Xenopus tropicalis: one gene and its partner. The protein of the gene in region 1 interacts with the protein of each later gene in a pairwise test. Links are inferred from orthologs where the notes say so. Each region holds a gene or a part of one and is shown in the gene's direction. Other genes may lie near its edges.

Region 1 (4,280 bases):
CCAGTCCTAATTTAACCCCTTTGCCTTGCAAGAAAGCAGTTTGGGGCATTTATTCCCGATTTTAGTTTTCCAAGGTTGGAGCCAACATGAGGCTGCAATGGAAAATATAATGTAGTTGGTAGATAAAGGGTAACACAGGGCTGGAAAGTGGGGGGAACCAAGAAAAGCGACTTTTTTATGTTACAAAAAAGAGTTCAGAGCTTTATAAACAAAGTTATATATTTAAATTTTTAGTGGGAAAAATATACTTTATTGACATTATACATAATTGTGGTGTTGGGCTGCCAAATCAAGCAGGACTGATACACGTGAGAAGTGCCACACAGCCATGCTGGGGTTTTTAGTTCAACATGTGTATTAAGGACATAAGCCCGGGATGTGAGGCAGGTGTGCCAAAGGTCCCCATATCTATAAAGCAATAAAGCTGATCTGTACTTTATATGTAAGCATTTCCATGCCTGGCTTGTTTCCTTAGGTTGCTAGGTATATGCAGTACTTAGTAGCAGAGCTAAGCTGGTCATACATGTGTATCAATACAGCTCTCATTGTGGGCCAATGCTTCTGAGAAGATGTGTGGCCACTTTTCAAGGAAATATCAGTCAGCAGCCTGATTGGGGGATGCCATATTCAGGCCAATAAGCTGCCGACTTAACCAGAAGGGGTAGAGTCAGAGCCTTTATCACTTGTGTATGGCCAGTTTAAGCCATATCCTCTGCTACATGGCAGCTCAGGTCCAGTGCCAGCCAGTAGGTGCAGTTGGTTGCAAGTCTGATGTGCATTGTGATAATGACCTTATTATTGATAAAAGCAGATATGTCGGCTATGCATGTGTGGGATCAAAATGTTAGAGATAGCCCACATTGCTCCCTATGAGTGTGTTTTCCCAAAAAGCAGGAAAGAAGGGTCATCATAGCCATTTTTAAGTTTTTAAAGTTGTAATGTGTCTCACCATCGACATAGGTACTCAAGAGGATAGGCTCAGGCTAATAAACAGTTAAGTGTTTTTTAAGAACCACTGGCTGCCCAAGTTTTCGCCTTTTCCAATCCTACAGAAAAGGCCCATCTGAGATAGTCCTGTGTAACTCACATTCTACTGGGAGTTGTAGCATGATAGTAACAGTTTAGCTGTGGCTTGTCAAGGGACAAATGGCAGGGTTAGATTATTGCCCTGAAGAAATGGAGCTAGCTGATGTCTCTGCTAAACACAATAGTATTTAGTCCTGATAAAGTCCCTAAATGTAAAGTTCATTGCTGGTTATTTGAAGCTGGGGCCAAACAAGTGAATACAATGCCTAGCATGGCCCTATCCAAATGCACTGTATTTTGGAAGATGAGGGTAGATGGGGAGGTGAGAGACATGATGATACTAAATATGTCAATGAAAGGCTTACAGTGATTGACAAGAGGGCCCTGTTCACTCTGTTGACTGTGTATTTTTGCACCCTATAATCCTAATTATAATTTCACAGAATCCGTGGAAATGAAGTGTTACTTGAGAAGCGTTGATGCAAAGCACAGTCCCATTGCCCTTCCTGATGGTAAAGGGGTCACTTTAGGAAGAGGACCAGAAACCCTTGTAACAGACAGGAAGTGTTCTAAGACTCAAGGTAGGGACCCATGTAAAAAATATATTGCTGGTGGAAAGGGTTTTCGGGGAGATTAGTCACCCGCGGTAGCAGAGATTAACCTCAGGTGCCTAAAAGGCTTTTCTTTAGAAAGGAAAGGGCCCTTTTATCCCTCAGTACAAAGGCATTGCAGAGGTAATTGTCTTCAGACCCTCCTTCATCACAGTGTGAGGGAAGGTCTGGCTTAATGGTAGAGCAGGGGCATTCCTTTACCTTATGGCTATGGAGGGTTCCTTTTCCTTGGTATCCACCAAAGCATCACCCAGGGCACAAATGCCTCAACAAAGTACAGTAAGTAGTAGGGAATCTACTCTTGACCTGTGGGACTGGAACACTTGTAGCACCTTCAACATCCTTGTGAAAAAAGTGGTTTTATGAATAAAAAATAAACATTTTAAAAAATGCTCTTTTCCAGTGGAACTTGTGGCTAATCTGGAGAACAGAGCAGTCCATGTAACCCAGGTAAGATACCTACTGTATTGGAGATGACTGATAATTGAAGCTCTATACAGCTTATTTCAGTGTAACTACTTTATCACTATCTGAAGCAACCAATCAAATGCAACACTTTGACTAGAGCATGTATCCCGGGTGACTTAATTATTTGTGTGTCTTTGACCAATGACCATGTATGTCCTTATCCAGAATCTGGCACTAATGACATTTGTTGTATGTTTATAGACTATGTTTTAGTGAGTGTAATTAACCTGACTTCATGTTTTTACTTATAGTTGGGTGCAAACCCTTGCTCAGTTGGAGAAGCAGTGCTGAAGAAGGGAGAGAGCATTTTAATGAAAGAAGATCAGACGCTTTTTTTGGTGAATAGGCTACATCCATATACTGTAATGTTTAAGGAAGATAGTCCTAAACCTGCTGCTGACACTGGAAAAATCAATAAGAAATCACCAAAGAACACCATAACTGAACCCCCTTCCACATCATCCAAGAAGACAATAACAGATTTCTTTGGGGCCTCCACATCCAAAGGAAAGAGGCGCATACAGCACGATAACACTTCCACTGGATCAAGCAACAAGAAGCCAAAGTACCAGGACCCAAAAGCTGAGGCTGGAGAAGAGTGGGATGACTCAGAAGAGGAGGAAATAGCACGCAAACTGTCTCACTTGCAGGAAACGGCGGCTAAAGCTAAGCCAAGCGAGAACCCATCTCAGGTTTCTTCAACTGATGAGAGAGGAGTTGCCTGTAGCAAAGATTCCTGGGAAGAACATGGGAAGCTTCTTCTCTTTAACAAGAAAGGGGTTCAGGCCAGTTCTAAGGTATTAAATCCATTAGTTTTCTGTTGGGTTTAAGGGCATATATAGGTCTTAAGCTGGCCTGCATGTGTCAATAATAGCTGCCAGCTTGGCCCCTCCAAATCAAGACCACTTATTCGTACATGTATGGGGCCTCTTGATATACGGGATAAGTATCTATCAGGCTGGTTTGAGAAGCCCATCCGATCAGCACCACATTGCCATGTTGATACATTCCTTACCATACTTTTCTCACCCAGGTCTCGTAAACCAAAAATTATATCAGCTTAATTAGGCCCAGTGAGTGGGTGACAAAATCATGCAAAGATCTGGCCAAACATGCAGTTCTTTAGGGTACTAGTAGCATCAACTTATCACGGCTACTAAAACAGACAATGCTGATGGTTTACTGATAAATGTCTCTACATGTGTTTTAGCAAAGGCAATTCTCAGTATTGTCTATGGCACGGTATATTCTGGCATTTACTAGCTATGATTAGTAGCTGCTACTAGTAGCTCCGTGTGTCTTTACCCTCAAGAACTGCATGTTAGGCCGGGTCACCCTTCACCCTTAAGTGTATAACCAGCTTTAGCACGGTAGCTTCTAAACAAATCTTTATTGCAGTCTGTAAGCCAATGAGTTGCACTCAGAGCATACAATGTACAAAGCAGCTATAAATCACTAACTTGTTCATCTTGCAGATTGCTGGGTTTGATATTGACGGGACAATTATAACAACAAAGTCAGGAAGAGTCTTCCCTGTAAACGCTGATGATTGGAAGTAAGTTAAAAGGAAATAAAAGCGTTCATTTTATCTCGGCATTTAAGTCTAAAACCTTTTAACACTTTTATGGGGGGAAGTAATTAAAGGCACTATGGAAAAAATAATCACAGGGCACAAAATGTATGCCTTTATGCGAACAAAATTTCCTTTGCGTGAATTTAATGTAGCTTTTGGGAGCCTGGAAACTGTTTAGCATTCACTTTCACCAGCAAGTAATATGGCAAATTTTATTGTTTGCACCAGTGCACAGTGTATAATTATGTTTCTCTTGATCTCACAGAATTTTATATCCAGAGGTTCCCAGGAAGTTAAAAGAGCTTCTAGCCAATGGCTACAAGGTATGTCTTCTGGAATTTTATGTGGGATTTATAATTCCTGGCATAGTGTGTGACATTGCCATGCTATTTAATCAGAGTTCTGCATGAAAATGTTCTCAGCACCAGTAGAAATCATTTCTAAGCAAGTGCTCAGTGGCCATGCATAGGAAACTGTTCCTGGACACAGCACATGTAAGTTAACTCCTTTATTCCCTAGCTCCAAAACATAAACAAAAAGGCAATGGGGTGAATCCCGGTATTTTGTCGCCAGCATGATGCCCTGCTAGAAATTGTCCCTCT
Region 2 (4,145 bases), on another chromosome or scaffold:
TTTGGAAAGATTTCACAGTTCCAATTTTATCATAATGAACAGCTTGTTTGGGATCTTTAATAGAGATTATAAGATGGGGTTATTGCTTTTGTCTCCTAAAGCTGGCCATACACGCACCGATACTATTGTACGAAACCTCGTTTCGTACGATATTCAGTGCGTGTATGGCATGTTGGCGAGTCGACCGATATCGCAGGAAGCTGCTGATATCGGTCGATTTGCCGATCGGACCGGTTAAAAGATTTTGATCGGGCGCCATAGAAGGCGCCTGACCAAAATCTGCCGTCAGAGCTGAATCGGCAGAAGGAGGTAGAAATCCTGTTGTTTCTACCTCCTTATCTGCTGTTTCAGCCCCGACGGTGTGTGGCGGATCTGACAATGTTTCGTGCGACCATCGCCACGTGTGTGGCCACCTTAACTTGTAGTTTCAGTCTGCATTTTAGGTGCGATTTATAGTTATAATCTCTTACTTTCTAATGTTATGTATGTAATCTGGGCTATATTAGTACAGGTATGGGACCCATTATCCAGAATGCTTGGGACCTGGGGTTTTCTGGATAAGGGGTCTTTCTGTAATTCAGATCTCCTACCTTAAGTCTACTAAAAAATTATTTAAACAGTAATTAAACCCAATAGGATTGTTTTGGCTCCAATAAGAATTAATTATATCATAGTTGGGATCAAGTACAAGGTACTGTTTTATTATTACAGAGAAAAAAGAAATCATTTATAAAAATGTAAATTATTTGATTAAAATTAAGAGTCTATGGGAGATGGCCTTTCTGTAATTTGGAACTTTCTGGATAATGGGTTTCCAGATAAGGGGTCCGATACCTGTATTTCGATTGCTGGATTTCCTTGGGTGCCCCATAATAATTTCAGCCCTGTTTCCAAGCACTGTGAAACTTCAAAACAAGTTGATACTGGAACATAATCTGTTAAAATGCTTTGCCCATTTTTTGCCTGTGTGAATGTATAACCAATGTTTTAAAATAAATAAGTAATCTATTCTCCAATCAACAGAATATGTTTCAGAGAAATGTGTATAATCTTTTGTGTTTGGGTTGAAAGATCTCCTTACTAGATGCACATGTCAGTGTCAGACTGAGGCAGCTGTAGCCACCTGAGGACCTGACTCAGAGGCGCCCCTCATACTCATATAAATCCATTTGGCTGCTTTGTAAAGCAAGTGGATTGTGACAAAGGAATGTTTTATGAACATGTAGCATGTAGCCCGTGAGCAGCCCTTCCCCTACAGAATTGCGAGCTGGCAGTCTCTCACAGCGCTTTGTGCTATGGGAGCCCAGTAGGGGGCGCTGTGACGCTTCTCGCTTCCCCGCGCCCTTCTCTTTCCATTTTGTCCGTCGTTGGTCTGGGGCCTTGGGGAGGAGTGATCTCCATGTTGGTTAAGTTCCCGGCCTGTCAGCTAGAGAAGGACATGTCCTGGGTTATTTCGATCCATTTGGTGTACGCTTAATTCCGTGGCCCTCTGAGGAACTCAGGTGAGACTCAAGATGGATGCCATAGAGGAGATGCCTTTTTTGCAATATCTTGTGCTACTTTTAATCGTGCAAATCAGTTTGCAGGGGCTAGGATTTCTCATTTTGATTCTAATTGAGGCCCAGGCATTCATTCCCTATTTTTGTATGAGGTTTAGTGATTATATTACGTGTGTGTGTTAGAGTCTCGTAATGTGTGTACAACGGACTCACGTAGTGTGTGTGTGTGTGTGTGTGTGTGTGTGTGTGTGTGTGTGTGTGTGTGTCGCACAGGCAGTGTGGCTATTATCCCAGGCTCACACACTTACATGGTGCAATTCATCATGTATACATTCACATATTCTCCTATTTCCCTATGGCTAGGAAGAATACGAGTTTGTAAATAGATCTGTCTTTGTCCCCATCAGTCATTTATTGGGACACCCGCTATATAGAGCTTGGTACCTGCACAACGAGTTCTTATTGAGCAGAGAACTTTTACAGGGAACACTCATTTCTTGCCTTTATATCTCATCATAAAGCTGTATAGTATGTAGCCTGTGTGTTGCCAGAAACACCAACTGAGCATGAGCCGTAGTAATAATAAAATAGATATCTTTGTGGGCTAATACATTCTTTATTTATTATTCACATCTCACTGTGACTTCTAATATTGGAAACCAGATTCAGGGCATTCTCTTGTATCTACTGACTAGTACTGAAGGCTGATGTCATTTTGGACATCAAAAATTGCGTACAAGTCCTTAGAACCAGTTATAGGTTCTGGTTTTAAGTCCAATCACATATACTTGAACCACAGGAATGTATGCAAGTTTTTCTTAAAGGACATGTAAAGCCTACATTTGCCTACAATGTATATCAGTTGGGCACGTCTCCCCCACCCAAATGGCATCATTTGTACTGCATATATCCCCTACGCTTGCCAGCACCATCACATTTTCCTAAAGCAAATAGCAGCTTTCACCTGGTGGCCATATTTCCTCTGATACATTTAAATCTGCAAACAGCATATACACACACACAGACCCTTATTCAGCATACATTTCATCAAGAATACAGGCTCACACAGGCACAACTGTCTTTGATAAAAGTTCTGCTTTGTTTGAGCTGAGCTAAGGAGAGGAGGTTAGGAGAAAAAAACTGAAGCCGGCAGCTACTAGGCAGCAATGCCGTCTCTTCACTGGCTGCTAGACTGGGGGGCGTGTTTAATAATCTGAGTTTAGAACAACTGAGCATGCCCACAAGCCAACAGCCAAAGCAAATTCCAGAGGGAGGGGGCCGAGTGGGTTAGAGGAGGAGAAGGAAATCTAAGTGATAAAGGGGACAACCAGTGTGCCAGGTAGTGCTGGGCGGTATACCGCCATATACCGAATACCGTTTTTTTTTTTTTTAAAAACGATATTCATTTTTGAAATACCCCCATACCGGTGAAGATCGGGGTGCGCCCGTGCGTACTGACGTCACGTACGCACGGGGCGCGACCCGAAGCGGCAACAGAAGCGGCACGGGCCGCATCGCTGGCCAACTTGCTGTATGGGGGGTGGTGCTTATAAATAATAATCCTAATTATAAGAGGAAAGTGGGGGGGAAAGCTTCCTGCTTAGCTGGTCACATGCTCCCTCTACTGGCGCCTCACTGGGACAAACCATACAAAATTGCACATTCCAAGTACAGAACTGCATGAAGCAGTGCTTCATATACCGATTTAGAACCTCTGAGGAATTGTACCAACACAAGCCTTTCCATATATTTTCAACTTTGTTCCCTGTGGATTAAATACTAATTGTTAGAGCTGGGCGGTATGACCAAAAATTTATATCACGGTATTTTTCAAAATTATATCGGTATCACGGTATTTGACGGTATATAAATAAAAAATAAATAATAAATATTGGTGGCCCCCCACCCCCCCCAACAACAACCCCAACAACCCCAGCCCCCCCCAACACCAACCCCAGCCACAACCCCCCCAGCCAGCCCCCCCAGCCACAACCCCCCCAACCCCAGCCACAACCCCCCAGCAGAACTTACCCAACTTGTTGTTCCTCCAGCTCCAGCGATGCGTCCTAGCGACGTCGCGTGCGCGCTGACGTCACATGCGCGCCGACGTCACGTACGCACGGGCGCAACCCGGATGTGATTGGAGAAAAACAGCAGGAGGCGCGCATACCGGTATAGCGGTATGTTTAAAACTCATACCATTTTTTTTTAAAAAACCGGTATACCGGTTAAACCGGTATACCGCCCAGCACTACTAATTGTCTCAATAGCAATATTTAGGGGCCCTGGCCACCAATGTTAATTGGAAAAAAAAATACCGTCAAATACCGTGACACCGATATAATTTTGAAAAATACCGTGATATAAATTTTTGGTCATACCGCCCAGCCCTAGTGCCAGGTATTTAAAGATTTCAAAGAGGCTGTTCACTGATTACGTTTTTGTGTGTGGGGTTTACATGTCCTTTAACATAGTGCCTTGTGTGCATACAAAGAAAAAAAAAAGTCCCAGACTGTTCTGAATGCTGAAGACTTATTTTTCAATTAGGCCATCATTCAGGAATTTTCTTTTTTTACAAGCAGACTAGTGGGCTACATAGATGGAGGCTAAAGGGTGCAGAGCTGCTTTAATGTGTGCAGCCTTTGC

What was found. The genes of interacting proteins can lie anywhere in the genome.
Region 2: the proteins of pnkp (region 1) and znf639 interact in binary tests that used the Homo sapiens proteins (3 or more experiments, as listed by UniProt). The two-hybrid records come from large-scale screens. The link is inferred for Xenopus tropicalis from reciprocal best matches to the Homo sapiens genes PNKP and ZNF639.

The regions. Positions count from the first base shown.
Region 1 is NC_030683.2:117,566,168-117,570,447, reverse strand, and holds the start of pnkp (bifunctional polynucleotide phosphatase/kinase), read left to right. Parts: upstream 1-1,480; coding exon 1,481-1,607; intron 1,608-2,040; coding exon 2,041-2,087; intron 2,088-2,356; coding exon 2,357-2,902; intron 2,903-3,580; coding exon 3,581-3,660; intron 3,661-3,943; coding exon 3,944-4,001; intron 4,002-4,280. UniProt on the Homo sapiens protein: Plays a key role in the repair of DNA damage, functioning as part of both the non-homologous end-joining (NHEJ) and base excision repair (BER) pathways.
Region 2 is NC_030681.2:108,913,948-108,918,092, reverse strand, and holds the start of znf639 (zinc finger protein 639), read left to right. Parts: upstream 1-1,345; 5' UTR 1,346-1,502; intron 1,503-4,145. UniProt on the Homo sapiens protein: Binds DNA and may function as a transcriptional repressor.